Macaca fascicularis: one gene and its partners. The protein of the gene in region 1 purifies or fractionates together with the protein of each later gene. This does not show direct contact. Links are inferred from orthologs where the notes say so. Each region holds a gene or a part of one and is shown in the gene's direction. Other genes may lie near its edges.

What was found. The genes of interacting proteins can lie anywhere in the genome.
Region 2: the proteins of RRS1 (region 1) and FTSJ3 purify together in Homo sapiens (affinity purification with mass spectrometry; 3 studies listed by BioGRID and IntAct, counting the BioPlex papers as one, with this or other methods). This does not show direct contact. The link is inferred for Macaca fascicularis from reciprocal best matches to the Homo sapiens genes RRS1 and FTSJ3.
Region 3: the proteins of RRS1 (region 1) and NIFK purify together in Homo sapiens (affinity purification with mass spectrometry; 3 studies listed by BioGRID and IntAct, counting the BioPlex papers as one, with this or other methods). This does not show direct contact. The link is inferred for Macaca fascicularis from reciprocal best matches to the Homo sapiens genes RRS1 and NIFK.
Region 4: the proteins of RRS1 (region 1) and NPM1 purify together in Homo sapiens (affinity purification with mass spectrometry; 3 studies listed by BioGRID and IntAct, counting the BioPlex papers as one, with this or other methods). This does not show direct contact. The link is inferred for Macaca fascicularis from reciprocal best matches to the Homo sapiens genes RRS1 and NPM1.
Region 5: the proteins of RRS1 (region 1) and NOP56 purify together in Homo sapiens (co-immunoprecipitation; 3 studies listed by BioGRID and IntAct, with this or other methods). This does not show direct contact. The link is inferred for Macaca fascicularis from reciprocal best matches to the Homo sapiens genes RRS1 and NOP56.

What each region holds. Positions count from the first base shown.
Region 1 is NC_088382.1:76,416,385-76,419,902, forward strand, and holds RRS1 (ribosome biogenesis regulatory protein homolog), read left to right. Parts: upstream 1-1,315; 5' UTR 1,316-1,433; coding exon 1,434-2,531; 3' UTR 2,532-3,018; downstream 3,019-3,518. UniProt on the Homo sapiens protein: Involved in ribosomal large subunit assembly. May regulate the localization of the 5S RNP/5S ribonucleoprotein particle to the nucleolus.
Region 2 is NC_088390.1:70,331,232-70,335,281, reverse strand, and holds the start of FTSJ3 (pre-rRNA 2'-O-ribose RNA methyltransferase FTSJ3), read left to right. Parts: upstream 1-1,250; 5' UTR 1,251-1,279; intron 1,280-1,390; 5' UTR 1,391-1,416; coding exon 1,417-1,483; intron 1,484-1,656; coding exon 1,657-1,762; intron 1,763-2,025; coding exon 2,026-2,072; intron 2,073-2,194; coding exon 2,195-2,274; intron 2,275-2,689; coding exon 2,690-2,789; intron 2,790-2,886; coding exon 2,887-3,081; intron 3,082-3,159; coding exon 3,160-3,275; intron 3,276-3,392; coding exon 3,393-3,497; intron 3,498-3,582; coding exon 3,583-3,683; intron 3,684-3,906; coding exon 3,907-3,987; intron 3,988-4,050. Other genes in the region: PSMC5 (26S proteasome regulatory subunit 8), read right to left, coding at 130-220, 824-876.
Region 3 is NC_088386.1:10,002,854-10,007,076, forward strand, and holds the start of NIFK (MKI67 FHA domain-interacting nucleolar phosphoprotein), read left to right. Parts: upstream 1-1,423; 5' UTR 1,424-1,441; coding exon 1,442-1,546; intron 1,547-2,546; coding exon 2,547-2,684; intron 2,685-4,223.
Region 4 is NC_088380.1:178,182,412-178,186,492, forward strand, and holds the start of NPM1 (nucleophosmin), read left to right. Parts: upstream 1-1,281; 5' UTR 1,282-1,378; coding exon 1,379-1,436; intron 1,437-3,482; coding exon 3,483-3,562; intron 3,563-4,081. UniProt on the Homo sapiens protein: Involved in diverse cellular processes such as ribosome biogenesis, centrosome duplication, protein chaperoning, histone assembly, cell proliferation, and regulation of tumor suppressors p53/TP53 and ARF.
Region 5 is NC_088384.1:84,652,073-84,656,257, reverse strand, and holds the start of NOP56 (nucleolar protein 56), read left to right. Parts: upstream 1-1,385; 5' UTR 1,386-1,414; coding exon 1,415-1,417; intron 1,418-1,607; coding exon 1,608-1,697; intron 1,698-2,044; coding exon 2,045-2,159; intron 2,160-2,963; exon of another isoform or gene 2,964-3,038; intron 3,039-3,166; coding exon 3,167-3,328; intron 3,329-3,500; coding exon 3,501-3,699; intron 3,700-3,818; exon of another isoform or gene 3,819-3,950; intron 3,951-4,020; coding exon 4,021-4,185. UniProt on the Homo sapiens protein: Involved in the early to middle stages of 60S ribosomal subunit biogenesis. Required for the biogenesis of box C/D snoRNAs such U3, U8 and U14 snoRNAs. Part of the small subunit (SSU) processome, first precursor of the small eukaryotic ribosomal subunit.

The sequences.
Region 1 (3,518 bases):
CAGAGTTAACATATCTCTTGTTCTTATACTTCCTAGTTGCATAACTTTAGATAAGTCATTTCACCTCTCTGAGCCCTCCTTGTTTCATCTGTGAAAATAATATAGTTAATACAATAATTAATAACATAGTTAATACTAATAGCTAACACATATTGAGTTCTTACTATGTAGCAGGAACTAATGTTTCATGTTTGTCAATTTATAAATAAGGCTTTAGGTCAAACATCCTCTCCAAGTAATTGTGACCTGATACCTGACTGTAGGCCGTTTAACTCAAGAACCACTGCAGAACACCATGCAGCACTGCCTCTTCAGCTTAGCTCCCAGAGCCTATGAAAACGAAATAATCGGTATTTAGCTAACTTGTATCGAGTACTCATATGCTTCAGGCCCTCGTTTAACCCTCCCTTGGAAGATATTAACTCATTTATCTTATAACCACCCTAGAAAGTATTTTTATCCTTATCTCACAGGCCTTAAAATGGCCTCAACAAGTAAAATTGCTGAAGCACCAACAGTGGCACAGTCAGGATTGGAACCTAGGCAGTGTAACTGCAGAGCCTGGCGGAGAGTGTAACTGCAGAGTGTAGCGTAGTTTCAGCATTGTACTAGACTAGGTTCTGTAACTGCAGAACCCCGGAGCTCCAAGTCAGCTAGCTCGCTAGGGTCGGTGCACACCTGCGCCCACTCGGGGCAGCTTCATTGCCAGAGCCACTGACTCCCAAAACAAAACCAATCTTCTACAATTAGCATCTGTGGGATGTTATGTTTCTCGTGCCACAACTAGGAACCCTGAAAGCAAATTATGACTCCGGTGAAACAATTTGGCCCTAAGAAGGGTGATTGTCTAAACATCTTCACAACGGATTTACACAGAAATTGTAACATGCACTTGATTGGAAACCCACACCACAGGCAGTCCCAGGAATTTGTACCCGCCCTGGTCCTGGACCGCCCCGCCGGATTGCGCCCCAAGACTGTCCCCGGACCACCATCCTAACACCACACCCTGAACTGCCCGCCCAGGACCGCCCCCTAGACCGCCCCCCAGGACCGCCCTCTCTAGACCGACAGCGAGACTGTCCCAGGACCGCCCCCTGGACCGCCCCCGCGCCCCGCTGCATCCTGGGAATCGTAGTCCCAATCCTGCTCTGGAACGAGTAGTGCTGGCTGCTGGCGCCAGCTCCGCCTCTATCAGGCGTCAGCCTAAGGTGCCGCTTCTAATCCTATCATCTCTCCATACCGCCCTCTGCCGGCCTTTCCTCTGGTTGCCCGGATGGCGAGCCGGTTCCGGGCGCTCCGGAAGCGAACCTTTCTTTTCCGGATTGGGCATCCCGGCGTCTGCACGTGGTTATGTTGCCGGAGTTTGGGCCGCCGCTGTAGGAAAAGTAACTTCAGCTGCAGCCCCAAAGCGAGTGAGCCGAGCCGGAGCCATGGAGGGCCAGAGCGTGGAGGAGCTGCTGGCAAAGGCAGAGCAGGACGAGGCAGAGAAGTTGCAACGCATCACGGTGCACAAGGAGCTGGAGCTGGAGTTTGACCTGGGCAACCTCCTGGCTTCGGACCGGAACCCCCCGATTGGACTGCGGTGCGCCGGACCCACGCCGGAGGCCGAGCTGCGGGCCCTGGCGCGGGACAATACGCAATTGCTCATCAACCAGCTGTGGCAGCTGCCCACGGAGCGCGTGGAAGAGACGATAGTGGCGCGGCTGCCGGAGCCCACCACACGCCTGCCGCGAGAGAAGCCTCTGCCCCGGCCGCGGCCACTTACACGCTGGCAGCAGTTCGCGCGCCTCAAGGGCATCCGTCCCAAGAAGAAGACCAACCTGGTGTGGGACGAGGTGAGCAGCCAGTGGCGGCGGCGCTGGGGCTACCAGCGCGCCCGGGACGACACCAAGGAATGGCTGATTGAGGTGCCCGGCAATGCCGACCCCTTGGAGGACCAGTTCGCCAAGCGTATTCAGGCCAAGAAAGAACGAGTGGCCAAGAACGAGCTGAACCGGCTGCGTAACCTGGCCCGCGCGCACAAGATGCAGCTGCCCAGCGCGGCCGGCTTGCACCCTACCGGACACCAGAGTAAGGAGGAGCTGGGCCGCGCTATGCAGGTGGCCAAGGTCTCCACCGCCTCTGTGGGGCGCTTCCAGGAGCGCCTCCCCAAGGAGAAGGCGCCCCGGGGCTCCGGCAAGAAGAGGAAGTTTCAACCCCTTTTCGGGGACTTTGCAGCCGAGAAAAAGAACCAGTTGGAGCTGCTTCGTGTGATGAACAGCAAAAAGCCTCAGCTGGATGTGACAAGAGCCACCAATAAGCAGATGAGGGAGGAGGACCAGGAGGAGGCCGCCAAGAGGAGGAAAATGAGCCAGAAGGGCAAGAGAAAGGGAGGCCGGCAGGGACCTGGGGGCAAGAGGAAAGGGGGGCCGCCCAGCCAGGGAGGGAAGAGGAAAGGGAGCTTGGGAGGCAAGATGAATTCCGGGCCGCGTGGCTTGGGTGACAAGAGAAAAGGAGGACAGCGCCCAGGAGGAACGAGGAGGAAGTAATAGTTTCTCACCGTCGGACCCGACTGAAAACCAAGGACTATAAATACTAAGTGTTAAGTTCTAGGTACTTGTACGGGGACTCAGAAGGACCTGGCCGCTGCCTTCATTGAGTTTAAAGGGACAGGATTGCCCTTCCCTCAAGAGAGTATGTAAGTGTTGGACTGCAGAAATTAATGTTTTTCCCACAACCGAGACTTTGGCTGGAGATTAAGAACTTATTTGAGGATTTAAGAATTAGGGAAATAATTTGGTGGAAACCAGGAATGAGTTCTATTCTTAAACAGCCTTTTTTATTTTTAACTTTGGATATAGGGTGAGGTAGAGTTGGCCATATTTCACACTTAAATTGACGTATATGTTTCTGCATTATTTTTACAACAAGCTTGTGTATCAGAGCGGGGGGTGCGGGGAAGGGAAAGAAAACAGTTTCAGAATTGGATAGGCAAGTGACTGTTTTAAAGGTTAAGTAATAAAGATGTCTTATCTAGTGTGGCTTTTAACTTTCTGACTATTGGGTAGAAATTGTACATGAAGCCAGTTACCGGGATACCTGGTACAGATTATTTTTGTTTACTTTCTAAAAAACACAAAGCAGGCCGGGCGCAGTGGCTCACTCCTATAGAGTCCCAGCACTTTGGGAGGCAGAGGCAGGCGGATCACCTGAGGTCAGGAGTTTGACACCAGCCTGGCCAACACAGTGAAACCCCATCTCTACTAAAAATTAAAAAATTAGCCGGACATGGTGGCTGGTACCTGTAGTCTCAGCTACTTGGGAGGCTGAGGCAGGAGGATCGTTTGAACCTGGGAGGCAGAGGTTGCAGTGAGCCCAGATCACGCCACTGCACTCCACTCCAGCCTGGGCAACAGAGGGACCTCAAAAAAAAAAAAAAGCAATTAAATTATAATAGTTTCAGTGAGACCACTTTTAAACTTATACTTCTTTTGGTATCAAATATAATATTCAAAGTAGTAAAACCAATGGCTGTT
Region 2 (4,050 bases), on another chromosome or scaffold:
GAAACAAACAAGAAAGGAGAAGCAGCAGCTTCTTCCACTGCACTCCCAGTGGAATTAGATGGATTTGTGGAAGTCCGTTTCCATCCCCCATCATCCCGCTTCCTAGCTCTCTCTGAAGTCCGTCCTCACCTGGAGTTCTTCAATCTTGGACAGATAATATTGGCGGAGTCCGCTGCCTGCCTTCCCCTCCTCCAGTTCCATCTGAAGACACAGAGTGAGTCTTAAACGACAGGTTAAACATCCGAGGGGATAAAGCCACTTGCAGGGCACTTTGAATAAGGTTTGACACCAGGTAGCTTTGCGTAGTAAAAAAAGTTTGGACTTCGGAGGCTCAGCATCTGGGTTCTAATCCCTCCCTCCCTGGGAACCCTCCATTTTCCCACGACTAAAATAAAAAAATGGGAACGCCGCCTACCTTGTACGACTTTTAGGAGGACCGAGAGGCGATATGATATACACGGGGGCGCTTTGCACTGCGTGAAGCGCTCTACAAGCCCGAGGTGTCGTTACTGCCGACGGAGCAAGCGGAACGGAGCCGAAGGACTGGCGTCCCGTCTCCTGCGACCCGTGGGCCGGCCGTTCCCGCGCCCATCGCTCCCCTCACTCACTCCGCTTCTACCGCGTATTCCTCTCCCAGCCTTGCCCTGACTCACCGAGGGCGGCGCTGACACAGCAGATCCAGTCGCAGGCAGCGTCCAGCCTGGACTACTCCAGCCACCTCCGACCCACCCAACCCTCCTGCCCCGGCCCGCTCTCCACTTAGATTACGCTCGCTCCGCACCCAGCCCCGTAACCTGCCGGGCCGCCACTGCAGCCGCCATACCTGCTCTGGCCCGTCAAGCGCCATCTTCTCTCTTCAGCAGAGACCGCCGGCATCCGAGTCCCCTTTGCGCGCAGGCGCGGAAGCGGAGGCTTGTGACCTGAAGACCAGGCAGAGAAGAGTTCCGGGTCAATGGGCGGGGTGCGCGGCCAGACCACACTAACTAAGGGGACCATGATGGGAGGGGCGGCTACGAGAGTTCAGGGGCTTTGGAGGGGGAAGAGGAAGGAGCAGAACTCCTCAATGTTGCCTCATTGAAACTATGTTTGTAGTTCTTGTAATGTGCCTTCCTAGTCTCAACTTTCAACTTACAAAATCCGAGGACAGAGTACCGAGAACAATCTATGGCCACACTCAAAATGGCGGAAAACCTCGAGCCAGGGACGCAAGCGGAAGCGGAAGTACGTTTGCTGCATACATGTGCGGTTCCGAGTGTGGAGAAAGCGGCCGTGGGTCTAGGTAGAGTGTGCGGAGAGGGGAGCGGAGTGGAATTGCTGCGGGAAGTGGGAAACTGAAAGAGGAATCTGGTGATCCGGAAAGAGACGTCCTCAACTTCTACTTTCTCCCCAGATTGAGCGATACTCCCCCATTCCACCATGGGCAAGAAGGGCAAAGTTGGCAAGAGCCGACGGGACAAGTTTTATCACTTGGCGAAGGAGACGGGTGAGTCCAGATTCGCTCAGTCTGCGTGCGAGCGAGCGAGCGATCTCTGCCCGGTTCGCCTGCTCTTTCTGACCATTGTGTACCTCTCCTGCAGAAGGGGTAGTGGGTTGCGAGGCTGGAGAAATCCTGCTGGTGATGGTGAAGCCCTCTGCGCACTTGGTTGTTTTGTCCAGGTTACCGTTCCCGATCTGCTTTCAAGCTGATCCAGCTCAATCGCCGCTTTCAGTTCCTGCAGAAAGCCCGAGCCTTGCTGGACCTGTGTGCTGCGCCAGGGGGATGGTTCGTAACACTTGCCACAGGTTGCTCCTGGTGGCCGCTTTCTGTGTTCTGAGCTGCGATGGTTTCCAGTTTCATTGCGGGAGAGGAATCCCGAATCCCGGTCCCCTTGGAGGCCGTTTCCTTTCTTGACTGCAGAGAAAGGACTTGGAATACGTGCCTATGATATGTTCTGGCCAGTGCACGTAACACCAGGGATGAGAGGTCAGTTGCCAAGAGGGGGACAAGGATGGCTGTAGGTTTTTAAATTCCTATTCCTTTTATAGGCTGCAGGTAGCTGCCAAGTTTATGCCTGTATCCAGCCTTATTGTGGGTGAGTAACGGACAGCTCTCCTTGATGTTTTAAGGGGTCGGTGTATAAAGTACTTTGTCCTGTATTTCTCTCCTCCCTGCTTGAGGCAACCCTTTAGAATACTCTGACCTGATTTATTCCAGGAGTGGACCTGGTTCCAATCAAGCCTCTCCCCAATGTGGTGACTCTCCAGGAGGACATCACAACAGAACGTTGTAGGCAGGTAATAGGAGTCTTTCTCTTCCTTCCCCCTTTATACGGAAACATCCACATCCCTGAAATCCTCTAAAGGCAATTTTTTTCTATTTACCATGCTTTGAGCACATTCTTGCCTGACATTTGTACAAGACCCATGGTATTCGTAGTGCCCACTCCAACCTTTATTTAGAGTCAGGGATAAAGGTGTTTGGAATTGGGAGAAGGGCAGAGATCTTTAGTGAAGTTTTTTCCTGTGAACTCACTGTCAGACTGTAAGCTCCATGAAGGTAGAGACATACTGTTTTTGTTTACTATTGTTATCTCCTGTGCCTGGTAGAGCATTTGGCCCATAATGGGCACTCAACAAATAACGGGATGGACAAATGGTTGAACCAGGGCCATTCCTGTGTTTGTGTTTCCATAGTTCCTTTTCTTTTTAGGCCCTGAGGAAGGAGCTGAAGACCTGGAAGGTTGATGTTGTGCTCAATGATGGGGCCCCCAATGTGGGGGCTAGCTGGGTCCATGATGCTTACTCACAAGGTACAGGGAGTGTGGTGTTTGGAGATCAGGCAATGGTGGAGTTGGGTGCATGCCCTCCTGGGCTGCAGTGCCTCAACTAATTGTCTCTATCCTACAGCCCATTTGACACTGATGGCTCTGCGTTTGGCCTGTGACTTTTTGGCCCGGGGTGGCTGCTTCATCACAAAGGTTTTCCGTTCTCGTGACTATCAGCCTTTGCTATGGATCTTTCAGCAGCTGTTCCGCCGTGTCCAGGCCACCAAGCCCCAAGCCTCTCGCCACGAATCTGCAGAGATCTTTGTAGTCTGCCAAGGTGGGCATCATTTCCTTTCTCTTGATCCAGCCTCCCAACTCCCAAAGCACACTTTTTAATATATCTTGTCATTTTTAGGATTCCTGGCCCCTGACAAGGTTGACAGTAAATTCTTCGACCCCAAATTTGCCTTCAAGGAGGTTGAAGTTCAGGCTAAGACTGTTACTGAATTGGTGACTAAGAAGAAGCCAAAGGTGTGTTTTGGGGAATGGGGCCACCCTTGGGTCCTGGAACTCTGGAGAGGTTGGGCCTGGTGGGTCCTACAGATACCCAGAAGGGACTGCCCAATCTTCTCTCTTTTTCTCCCTAAGGCTGAAGGCTATGCTGAGGGCGACCTCACTCTTTATCACCGTACCTCAGTCACTGACTTCCTCCGAGCTGCCAACCCTGTCGACTTCCTGTCTAAGGCCAGCGAAGTGAGTCTCCAGCCTTGAGGGACATGAGGTAGCCCCGGAAACATGGCCTGAGAATCTCCCGACACCTTTCCCTCCTCCCAAACAGATCATGGTAGATGATGAAGAGTTGGCACAGCATCCAGCTACCACTGAAGACATACGGGTGTGCTGTCAGGACATCAGAGTGTTGGGGCGCAAGGAGCTCAGGTATGCAGCGGGGTGGGCATGGGGGCCAGGAGCCCTGGAGGCGGGAAAGGCCATGATGTTAGATCTCTGGGAAGAGGATATTGCTGTGCTAAAGGTTTGGGGTAGGGGCCTGAGCCTTTTGGTTTATGTAGCTGAAACCTGAAAAGGTGGATAGTGAGCCTAAAACAAGGGGGCAGGGACAAAGCGGGAGATGGCAAGATCAGTAATAGTATCTCTGGGGCAGGTTGCTACTAAACTGGAGAACAAAACTTCGGCGATATGTGGCCAAGAAGCTGAAAGAACAAGCAAAGGCACTGGACATCAGGTGAGGAGGGAACGCAGCCAGGCAGGTGTGGACGGGGTGTCCAGGGAAAGAGCCCAGGAAAAT
Region 3 (4,223 bases), on another chromosome or scaffold:
AAGGAACAAACTCTGGACACACCATCTTTAAGAACTGTAACACTCACCACGAGGGTCTGTGGCTTCATTCCTGAAGTCAGGGAGACCAAGAATCCACCAGTTCTGGACAAAAAAGGTGTAAACAGCCACAGCCTCGCTTAAAACCCAACCACCCCCTCGCATTTACAACAAAACCCCAGTTTCATACTTTGACACACAGAGCCATGGGACTCCAGCCTGCCCCCTCGCAGCTCTTCCCTCCTACGCTGGGCTCCAACCCCACTGCTGGGTCCTTCTTTCTATACCTAGGAACACATGTGTAGGCCTGTCTGATCCAGCAGATGGCAGGGCCTCAGTTCTCCAGACCCTGCTCCTTAGCCTTCAGGCTTCGCTGCCAACACCACCTCCTAAGGGGGACCCTCCTGCGTCACCCAGTGTGCCTCTCCCCCACGAGGTTCTTTCATCTCTCAAAGCAGCCATGCTGCCCCAGGCTGTAAATTCTCTAGGGGTCTCCACACAGGAGGGGCTCACACACTAGTGAGTGAAATAACCAAATTAGGGCTGGGCACGGTGGCTCACACCTGTTATCCCAGCACTTTGGGAGGTTGAGGCGGGTAGATCACCTGAGGTCAGGACTTCGAGACCAGCCTGACCAACATGGTGAAACCCCATTTCTACTAAAAATAAGCCAGTGGGGCGTGGTGCGGGCGCCAGTAATCCCAGCTACTCGGGAGACTGAGGCAGGAGAATCACTTGAACTCTGAAGGCAGAAGTTGCAGTCAGCTCAGATTGAGCCATTTCACTGCAGCTGGGGCAACCAGAGCGGAAACTGTTTCGAAAATAATAATAAGCAAATTGAGGAATGTGAGCAGCATCTCGGGCACCAGTACTGTTTTATAATTGTAGACCGCCTTTCTAAGTAGGCGTGAAGGTAATTGTTTCAGGCACTCTTAAGCCAAGCCAATCGGCGCCCCTACAGCGGAGGGCGCGGAAACTATCCCCAGCCCAGCCCCAGACCCCACTCCCCCCCGCCCCGGGGCCCCCCTGCCCCGCACCGCTCTGTCCACCCCCCCCCGTCTCCACCCCCACCCCTGTCCCCACCCCACCCCCGTCCCGCCCCACTCCCCACCCCCGCCTCGGCACAACTCACGCCCGGTGCCGCGCCTCCGCGCGACTCATGCCTCTCCCCGCCCCTCGCCAGGCCTCGTGCCCCGCCCTCGCACCACGGCACAATTTATGCCCCGTCCCGCGTCCCGCGCCCCGCGCCTCGTGCCCCACCCCCGCTTCTCCGTGCTACTCCTGCTCCAACCCCGCGCGCGACTCATGGCCCTCCCCACCCCTCGCCACGCCTCGCCTCCGCGCTTCGCCACGCCCCTGTCCTGCCTCTACTTCCGCCTCAGGGGAGCTGGGAGCCCGTCGTTTCCGGGAGCGCCGCGTGGAGTTAGTGTTGGCCGCTTTTGGCATGGCGGCTTTTTCTGGCCCAGCTGGGCCGATCCTGTCGCTTAACCCGCAGGAAGATGCCGAGTTTCAAAAGGAGGTGGCGCAGGTTCGCAAGCGCATAACCCAGGTGAGCAGGCACCCTGGTCCAGGCTGCGAGCGGGGGCGACGGACAGGGTCTAGGGGGTATCCGGGGTTGCGCGGTTCCCCGCCCGGACTCCCCTTGCCTTCGCGCACGCCTTCCAGAGTATCCTTAGCGGATTTGACCGAATCAGGGACCCACCTCTTAAGCTTGCAGGCCACGGTTTCTGAGACTAAAGGGTTTACGCTGGTGGGTAAATGATGGAGAGGTTTGGCCGCTGAGGCCTTGGAGCCTTCATGTGGAGGGTAAGGGGGAAGTATTGGGGTGACGGAAGCCGCGGAGGGAACCACCTGGAGGGAATAGGTTCCCATACCACAGGTTGTCTCCGGGTTAGACCTGTCACGCTTCCGCGTTCCCCCCGAAAACGGGGGCCCCAGACTTAACACATTCGGGAGGTTTGTATGCCGGGTTGGTGATCTGGGAGTTATTAAAATAGAGTAGTTGCCAGGTTCCGCTTGCTGACCAGGGCCCCTGACATCGCTTATACTTTCTGTGGTTTTTAGCATAAACTACACAGGAAAACTTAGAAGTTCTTGTTACAGAGGTAAGGGTATGATGGTTGAGACGCTGAAAGGCTAATCTGTATTGTGAGAGTTAGCAAGCGTCTCGAAAATTTTTCGATGAAATGCGAGTAAACAGTAATATGCATACAAAATTGAAGGCTATATTTATGTAGAGTTCTCTGGGCAGAAGATCCAAAATGGCTTGTTCGAAGATGTCCTTGCTTATCCGTTGATTGACATAGTTATTGAGCACTAACATTATACTGGGTGCTGGGATGCCAGGCTGGAAAGATAGTTGATTACTGCTTGGCCATGGCCTTTGTGGGGAGAGAGACACTCAACAGCCACTTCTTTAATTACTACTGTGGTAAGTGGAAATGCGGAGTAGGTTCTTGGGCCTAGGGCTAGGGGTTTTGTAAGTTTTGTTACAATGTGATTTTCTTATTTTAAAAAATATTTAATTTACCTGGTCTTTATGTCTTCAGCGGAAAAAACAAGAACGACTTACTTCTGGAGTAGTCTATGTGGGCCACCTACCTAACCTACTTAACGAAACCCAGATCTTTTCGTATTTCTCCCAGTTTGGCACTGTGACACGATTCAGACTGTCCAGAAGTAAAAGGGTAAGATTTTTAAAGTTGGATTTGACGTTTTGTTTTTCAAATGTGTGTGATTCTTGACATTAAAGAGCACGTTCACATACTCTTATCAGATTTCATTCCAAAAAGAAGAGTGGAGGTTTAGAATCTGAAACATAGAATCCCGGCACATAAACTTGGGTTGTAGCCATAGGCACCTATTTGATTTAGCATCTAGGGGATAGGGTGTGCATCCATCATCTGTTAGTTGTCCTAAAGATACAGATTATAGGTAGAATTGAGGTCCCTTTTGTACCCTTCCCAGTGTTCTTCACCTTCTCCTTTAATTAGGGAATTAAATTCACAAATTCCGTTTTCTTTTTTTTGAGACAGAAGCTTGCACTGGAGTGCAGTGGTGCGATCTCAGCTCACTGCGACCTCCGCCTCCCAGGTTCAAGCGATTCTCCTTGCCTCACCCTCCCAAGTAGCTGGGATTATAGGCACCTGCCACCACACCTGGCTACATTTTTTTTGTGTTTTTAGTAGAGACGGGGTTTCATTAGTTGGCCAGGCTGTTCTCGAACTCCTGACCTTGTGATCCTCCCACCTCAGCCACCCAGAGTGCTGGGATTACAGGCGTGAGCCATCGCTCCTGGCCACAAATTCAGTTTTCATTGCTATATATGTTTATAAGTTTTTACTGTATCTATATATATATGTGCTACAACACGTGTGTACATATATAAATGTACATATAGTATTATTTTAAAATTATTTCTATCATTCTTCAGCTGAATTTTTTTACTCAATAATCTGAGCTTTATCCGTGTAACTCTAGTGCCTTTGTTATCATCATTGCTTGTTACTTAGGTAACTAAAGTTTATCCACGCTCCTATTGAACATTAGGTTTTGTTTTGGGGTTTTTTTTTTTTTTGAGACAATCTCACTCTTGTCACCAGGCAGCTGTAGTGCAGTGGTACGATCTCAGCTCACTGCAACCTCTGCCTCCACATTCAAGTGATTCTCCTGCCTCATCCTCCTAAGTGGCTGAGATTACAGGTACTGGCCACTGCACCTGGCTAATTTTTATATTTTCAGTAGAAACCGTGTTTCACCATGTTTTGGCCAGGCTGGTCTCAAACTCCTGACCTCAGGTGATCCGCCCACCTCGGCCTCCGAAGGTGCTGGAATTACAAGTGTGAGCGAGCCACTGTGCCTAGCCTGAACATTAGGTTTTTTACTATTTTTAACTCTTTACATGAAGCTGCTAGGAACAATCTTTGTGCAGGTATAGACAGATTTTTCTAGAAGAGCATTTTGCAGACTGGCTCACAATAAGAAGTAAGTTTTTACCATCACAGAGAAGATGAGGGTTTTCAAAAAAAGTTTCATAGCACAAACCAGCACACATACACATACATGTAAGCATAACTGAAATAAAAGCCATATGAGACAATATTTAAACTTGTTTTGTGTGATTTGCTGATTTTCTATTTCATTCTATTCAGGGTTTTTTTGGTTGTTGTTTTGTTTTGTTTGAGACGGAGTCTCGCTCTGTCGCCCGGGCTGGAGTGCAGTAGCAC
Region 4 (4,081 bases), on another chromosome or scaffold:
CACTGCAAGACTCTCTCCACAAAAAAAAAAAAAGAAAAAAAAACATAACAAATTTAGTGACTCAAAGCTTTATGTGACACAGGCGCTCTCAGAAAGGAAGAGTTAAATTATAACATATCCATATTATGCGTTAGTATGTGTCAAAACTAACGCATATTATGGATATGTTATAATTTAACTGTTCATTCCTCTTTTGATGGATGCTGAAATCGTCTGTATAATTTTCTTGTAAGAAATAATGCCTTGGGGTGGGGGGGTCTTCCTTTCTGAGGCTATCATTTATATTCTTCACTTCTTAAATTTGATATGTTGAGGCTAAAAAAAAAATTATGGGTCTTCAGAACGCCCCAATGCCCGGGGCTGCTGGGGTACCTCGGAGTTTGTCAACGTGTAGCTTAAAATGTTAATTCCCATACTCGCTACCAAATATTCGATTAAGGCTTCTGTAGTTCTTATAAGTCACTCGCTTTCTTTCAGGAGGAATCCTAAAGATTAAGAGCGGCAAGAAGTCAAGAGTCTGCCCACCCTCCGAGCTCTCTTAGGGCGATGTCCTTGCTCATTTGGAGACTGATTCAGTCCCCTTTAGGCCCCCAAATTACATAAAGATGAGGACTTTGGAGATGTTTTCTCAGGAAGGGCAGAACTGTAAAAACACAGTTCCGTAAGCCTGGCCGGTAGCTACATCTTTCCTTCCTAACAAAGAATAAGCCGCAATTCACTCTCCGGCACCTGAACTTTGGGGTAACGATTAACTGCGATCCCAAGCCTTCAGGCAAGTAAAAAAAAATCCTGAAATGATTACGCCTGTTTGGAGGTTTGCAAGGCACTAGGGTATGGGGGAAGTGAATCGAGGTGCTCTCCGGCTCATTCCCAGCCAGCTAACAACCCGCCATATCTAACACAGCTAAGAGCTGCCGACGCCATTTTGCAGGGTGGGCTACGCAGACTCTTGGCGGGAGGCCGGAGCGCTTGAGCGGGAGAGGACGTGGAAGTGTTGGAGGTGGGGAGCGCGCGTTACGACTGGAAAGCACGCGTGCGCACAGGCGACAGCGGTGGAGGGGTGGGGCCAGTGTACGAGTGCGCGTGCTCGGTGGGAGCCCGCGGAGTACCTGGAAGGAGGTGGGGGGCGAGGTAGAAAGGAGTGTGGTTGAAGAGCGCTTGCGCAGGAGAGCTACGGTACGGGGGTGGGAAGGCTCCGGAGCACGCGCGCGGAGGCGGGACTTGAGAAGCGCTCGCGAGATCTTCAGGGGCTATATATAAGCGCGGGGAGCTTGCGTCCTTTCCCTGGTGTGATTCCGTCCTGCGCGGCTGTTCTCTGGAGCAGCGTTGGTTTATCTCCGTCCGCCTTCTCTCCCACCTAAGTGCGTGCCGCCACCTGATGGAAGATTCGATGGACATGGACATGAGCCCCCTGAGGCCCCAGAACTATCTTTTCGGTAACTGCAGGGGGGAGCTGGAGCGAGGCCGAGCGGGGCCTGGTGGCGGTGAAGGCGGGGGTGAGGGGAGGGAATCCGGCTGCAGCAGGGTCTGGTGGAGACCGCCAGACCGGCTGGAGGCCTGAGCGGGTGGGAAGAGCTGCCCGAGCCCTGGACCTGGTGGGATTGGAGCCGCGGGGGGAGCCGGAGGCGTGAAGGGGGAGGAGACGAGCGGCCTGAAGCGCCTGGAGCGTGAGCAGTCCGAGGCCCAGGGCCTGAGGTGTAGCGGAACTGGCCGCCTGGAAGTTCGGCCGTTGCCGGGGATACGCCGCGGAGCCCCAGGCGTGGTTTATTTTCTAACGGAGTTCGTTCGTAGGCTTCTGATCCCAGGCCCCGGGTTGGTGGTCCCGGAGGCTGGGTTTACCGGGAAGCATGGGCCTGCTTGTTGGAGAGGGTAGATGCACAGCCTGGCGTTGTTCTGACCTGAGTCTGGAGCTGCCGGACCCAGACTTCACTCGCGTGCTTCGGCCAGTTACTGGGGGAGGGGAGGCGCGGCGCGGCGTGAGGAGGCCGCAACCGCTGGGAGCACGTGGTTGCCACGTGGTTGGGGGAGGGAGGGGGGTGTGGGCACTACATCCGGGGCTCACCAGCATGTTGTTACTCCAGATCAAGGGATGCTGTGGCTCAGTTGAAGTGGGAAATGTTAAGAGGCTGGTAACACTAGGATTCTGGAGGCCTTTGTTCAGTGCTTACAGCATCTACTGTGATGGCAGCTCTTTTTTTTTGAGCCCCTTTTCTGTCTCACTGCAGTAGCTGGAGCTAGCCCCACTTTGCAGATGACGGCACTGGTGCCCAGAGATTAACTCACTTAACGAAGGTTGTACTTATAGGCAAAGAGGCTAAAACTAAACCAAGACCCTTGACTCGTAGCTGCTGCTTCGTGAATATTAATGAGGCTTCGTTTTAGGGGGACGTCCTCGCATGCCGCCATTTGTGCAGCATTGACCAAACCGCTTATTTAAATACAAGAAACACGTAGAGTGTTCGATTTGAGTCAGATCAAGACCTAAAACTATTCGCAGAATTTTGGGACCACCACCACCTTCGACTTGCGGTAGCCCTGCCCCAAAAAGGAGAGTCCCACTTGGGTTTTTAATGTCAGTAGGTTTAATTACAGAAGCCTAATCTTTATACTATTCAGACTTTGAAGTAAGTGCGAATCCTACCGTGAATTTTATCTTGTTCATTATCCGTGCTGAGATTTGTTAATTAAACCTCTTCACATTTAAGCATGTATATGTATTGGTAACAGTTAGATGGTAGTTAATGGAATTATTTAAAATTTTTATTCTGACAGTATTTTAAAGAATTTTGCCCATGCATGGATGGAGTGGCAGTAGACACATGTATTTAAAACATTAAGGCTTTAATTCCTAGCTGTTTTGGATAACTGAGAATTCTGATAAATTTATATCAGTACTTTTTGATAACTGTTGGAAACAACCCTCCTTGTCTTAAACATAGTTTCTGAATATAGTTTCAGGCGTATGTCACTTTCTGTTGCTTTAAAGAGTAGAGTGTTGACCCCTGTAGCAAGCTTTGGTTCTTTTACCTTTGTCGTTTTTCTTTTGTAATAGTAAGCTATTCATGTTTGTAACCGTTCTCATTTCGAACTTTCCATTTGGGAATTTAGGTGGGTAAATCAGCTGTTTTAAATAGTGGGAAACTTAACATTGGACATTACATTTGGTTTCAGGTAATTGTTTTAGGTTCAGATTTACTAAACCGTTGAGCTCGTTTCTGTATGCAGAATAACAGTGCCTATCAGCGTAGTTAGAGATGAAATATGGTATGAGGAGAAGATAGAATTGTAGACTTCTATGGGTGTTACTTGTTTGTAGAGGTTTCTGTTCAAGAAATCTAGGAATTGATCATTCTGCTTTGCCCTCTGGTAGCTAAAATTGTGAAAACTAGTTCAAAAGTTAGACCTGACCTTTTTGGTTACCCACACTTAAGTTTCAGTGTTATTTTTCTCCTTGTTAGAGTTGCTTTTTTCTTCATTTACAGGTTGTGAACTAAAGGCCGACAAAGATTATCACTTTAAGGTGGATAATGATGAAAATGAGCACCAGTTATCTTTAAGAACGGTACTTAAACTTTCAAAATAAACTACTTAACCCTACTTGATTTCAGCCTTTTAGTTTCTATTCATGTGGCTTGAGACTTTTCCTTTGCTGACTGCTTATAAAATACTATTTCTTACACCTGGGTATTGTGTGTACCTCACTGTCTGTACATCTTTGATGAAGAACTTGGCATCTATACTCATTTGGTAACCATGTAAAATCCAGTCACATTGTTAAACTTGCCTTATTTTCTTCAGTTGGATTATAAAGCCCTTGTAAAAGGCATCGATAATCTTACATGTCTACCAGAGACTAGCTTTTCTCTCAACTTAGAAGTTGCTCAATAAATAAGTTAGGTGATCTATATTGTGTGTATGCATATTTATGCATTTGTTAAATTTTCTGAATATGAGAAATTGATTTGCCAAGATCACAAAACCTGAGGATAACATTGCACAGATTTGTTTTCTGAGGTAACAGTGATAGGTTTATACTTGTATTTTTAAAAAATCATAGTCATGTGCCTCATTGCAACTGTTG
Region 5 (4,185 bases), on another chromosome or scaffold:
CCCCTGGTTTAGTGAATAAGCACCTGTAATCCCAGGAAAATTCAGGATTAAGGACAGAAATAACGAAGTAAATTGAAGTCTTAGCATTAATATTTTCCATTACATTTTGGAATCGTCTAATTTTATGTATTGATGACGGTAAAAATAATTCAACATGCTAATGTATGGATTAATTTTGCAATTCCATTTTAAAATGTTAAATGGAATAACGATTCAGATTCGTTAAGTCGACATGTGTAACAGAATTCAACCACATCTGTAAACTATATTAAAATTATGTGAGTAAGATTTACCGGCCATATTTTTTAGGTTTGACATATTAGATTTGTGAGTGAACTATGTACTTGGATTTTGTCAAGTAACTCAATCGATTAACAAAATAACAATTAAATGTATAAATGTAGTTTATAGCTATACAGCATTTTTAAAAATCCCCTTCGAATGACTCTTTAAAATATATCAGGGGATATGCTACTTAAGCATAACTAGGTTTTGGATTTATAACGTTAATATTAATTATTAAAGCAAAACTCATTTCTAAATAGTCGCCTGAGAGCCCAAAAGACGCCCTCGAGGACAGGGAAGGAGCTCCGATTCACTTGGCGCTCGCCGGTGCCCAGAATTCAGGGCCGCTCAAGCGGAGGAGCAACACGTGGCCAGCAAAAGAAGCTGGGTCCCGTGCAGCACAGCAACAAGAAACTGGCCTAGGAGGACGCTGGAGCGTCTTTCTTTCGCACGTCACTGCCTGACACCGTCATTTTAAAAAATAATAAATAAAATTAGTAGTACGAAGAAAGCTGCGCAAGCCACGTTCCCAGCAGGGTCTGCGCCAAAGCGCGCAAGGAAACGCTCCCGTTCCGGGTGGGAGGAAAGGATGCACGGCCCACCCAGCGCTGGGGAGGCTCGTCCCCGAGTAGGGGACGGGAACGGATGGGTCCCGGGGACTTGGGGCGCAGGGTCTGGGGCCCGAGGCCACGGGCGCAGCGGGCAGCCGGCTAGGCAGCGGTCTCTGGGATGGACGCCGTGCCCTACGCGGAGCCTCCCACCCCGACTTCACCCATCTCTGCTGCCCGCAACTTATATGACAAGAACATCTGGAACTGGACTATTATACCGAAAGGGCCTACCCATGTCTTTTCGCTGCCAGCAAGGCCCGACTCCGGGCCGCGCGTCCCCGGCAACCGCGCCCGCCCACGCAGCTGCAGAGGCCAGAGAAGGCCTGCTCGCCCGCGCTCGGCGCCACCCAGCCCGCGCTCCGGGCGATACCACCCCGGGCGGCCCCTCTAAAGGCCGGGAGATGGTGTCGTCCCCGGCCTCCGATTGGTCTGCGGGGCGGGGGCGGGGCCTCTGGAGCCTGGTTCCGCGCGCCGGAGCGCGCTAGCCGCATTGCGAGCCGAACCCGGGAGCAGGCGCCATGGTGAGGAGTGGTTGTGGGGCGCGGGCGACGCGAAGGTGGGGGCTTCGGTCTGGGTTCGCGCTTCAGACAGAGCCTGGGCCTGGGCCTGGGCCTGGGCCTGGGCCTGGGCCTGGGCCTGCGCCTGCTCTCGGAGCGGGTTCCGGCAGACGCGGAGGTTGAGCTGACGCTAGCGCCCCGGCTCCCGTTCCAGGTACTGTTGCACGTGCTATTTGAGCATGCGGTCGGCTACGCGCTGCTGGCACTGAAGGAAGTGGAGGAGATCAGTCTGCTGCAGCCGCAGGTGGGTGAGATCCATGGGCTCCTCAGGCGGCCTCGCAGACCCTCACCGCGCAGGTCCCAGCATGCAGCGCGCGCTCCCACGTGGCCGGCCGAGAGGTTCGGGGCGGGGGGCGGGCCTGGAAAGCTCTAGATCCGGGGGTCTTTACCTTGACTCATGGGAAGAATCGCTCTAGCAGTTAGAAATAAGCCTCCCGGACCCCGCGCCGGAACGATTAAAGCAGAAGCTGGGTTGTGGGGTCCCGCTGTCAGCATATTTTAAGAGCTTCCAAGGCTGAGAACCGCTGCTTTATGCGCCGCAGAGGCAGGAGGGAGGGAAGGAAACCACTCAGCCTCTTTCTCCCCCGCTAGGTGGAGGAGTCCGTGCTCAACTTGGGCAAATTCCACAACATCGTTCGTCTGGTGGCCTTTTGTCCCTTTGCCTCGTCCCAGGTTGCCTTGGAAAATGCGAACGCCGTGTCTGAAGGTGAGTCGGCCACCACCAAGTATCACAGGGAGATGTGGTTCCTTCTGGTATCCTCTCGGGCAGCTTGTGATAGTATTTGCCGTCCTTGGCCGGCTGTGAGTCTGATAGGTGTGAGGCAGTATTTGAGACATAACTGTGTAATTTGAAATAATTGTCTTCACAGAGCTCAAGATCTGGGAACTGTGATGGACCAAACTGTTGAAAGCAGATGATGTGGGATGTGTGTTACGTTTCCTTGTGGGCACTGTAGTGACAGATTATTTATTTTTTGAGACAGAGTCTCTGCCCTCCAGGCTGGAGTGCAGTGGCACGATCTGGGCTGACTGCAACCTCCGCCTCCCTGGTTCACGCGATTCTTCTGCCTCAACCTCCCGAGTAACGGGGATTACAGGCGTGTGCCAGCCACCACACCCGGCTAATTTTGTGTTTTTAATAGAGACGGGGTTTCACCATGTTGGCCAGGATGGTCTCGATCTCCTGATCTCGTGATCCCCCGCCTCGGCCTCCCAAAGTGCTGAGATTACAGGCGCGAGCCACCGTGCCCGGCTTGACAAAGGGGGTTTCTTAAAGGGGGTTGGCTTAACACCTACCTGTGCCTGAGTTTTTTGCCTAAACACAATCAGGTGTCTAGTTTTCTGCTATTTGCTTGGAAAGGGCGGTTGGATAAACACAGGCTAAGAAAAAAAGGTTTGGTTCCAGAAGGCAAATTCTACTAAATACTCAAGGGTGTGTTACAAGCTATTATTTATTGCACGATTGTGCTATCAGACCTGAGTGCAGTTGTTCCCATGGCTGGGCCAGGCTTTGCAGTGATGACTTGCGAATCAAATCTGTCAATCCCCTGAGTGCAGTCACTGATGTCTCCATGTCTCTGAGCAATGCCTGATGGGGAGGGGTCTAGGTATGCCATCCCAGCATGCTCCGTGGAAGCAGGGTAATCAGCTGAGGAGATGTTAGAATTGATCATCCTTCAGCCTGTGAGTGGGAACTGTGTTCTTTCCTCTGAGGGGTTGTTCATGAGGACCTCCGCCTGCTCTTGGAGACCCACCTGCCATCCAAAAAGAAGAAAGTACTCTTGGGAGTTGGGGATCCCAAGATTGGTGCTGCAATACAGGAGGAGTTAGGGTACAACTGCCAGACTGGAGGCGTCATAGCTGAGATCCTGCGAGGTGAGACCATCATCTGTTATATTCATGTTATCCTTGACATTTTCGGGGAGGAGGTTCTGGAAACGTGGGTGCTTGTTGTGACTTCTGGGAAGGCCTTGGACTTGGCTGGTGCCCATGGGTGCGGGAGCTAGCTCAGAGCCCCTTGTTGCTCACCGTCCTGCCCTCTTCTTAGGAGTTCGTCTGCACTTCCACAATCTGGTGAAGGGTCTGACTGATCTGTCAGCTTGTAAAGCACAGCTGGGGCTGGGACACAGCTATTCCCGTGCCAAAGTTAAGTTTAATGTGAACCGAGTGGACAATATGATCATCCAGTCCATTAGCCTCCTGGACCAGCTGGATAAGGACATCAATACCTTCTCTATGCGTGTCAGGTAAAGTGCAGGGGCCACCCATAATACTGGAGCCTTTGGTCTGTAGTTTAGCTAATTTTGAGTCTTGATGAGGACTGACCATCCTGTGGGTAGAACTATGTGGACTGGGGCTGGGTCTAGGCCTCCTGGTGCTTACCACAGGCTGTGTTCTTACACTGACTGTATAGAAAGAGGAGGTAGAGTAAACCTACCCTATATACACCTCAGCTCAGGCCCTGTGCCTGGTCTGTATTGTGAATGGGGGAACATAGAATGAAGATTTGTAGCTCTATGGTTTTTGATGAAGCAGCTGGGCCAGGGAGTGACTGTGGCTCTTTGCAGGGAGTGGTATGGGTATCACTTTCCGGAGCTGGTGAAGATCATCAACGACAATGCCACATACTGCCGTCTTGCCCAGTTTATTGGAAACCGAAGGGAACTGAATGAGGAAAAGCTGGAGAAGCTGGAGGAGCTGACAATGGATGGGGCCAAGGCTAAGGCTATTCT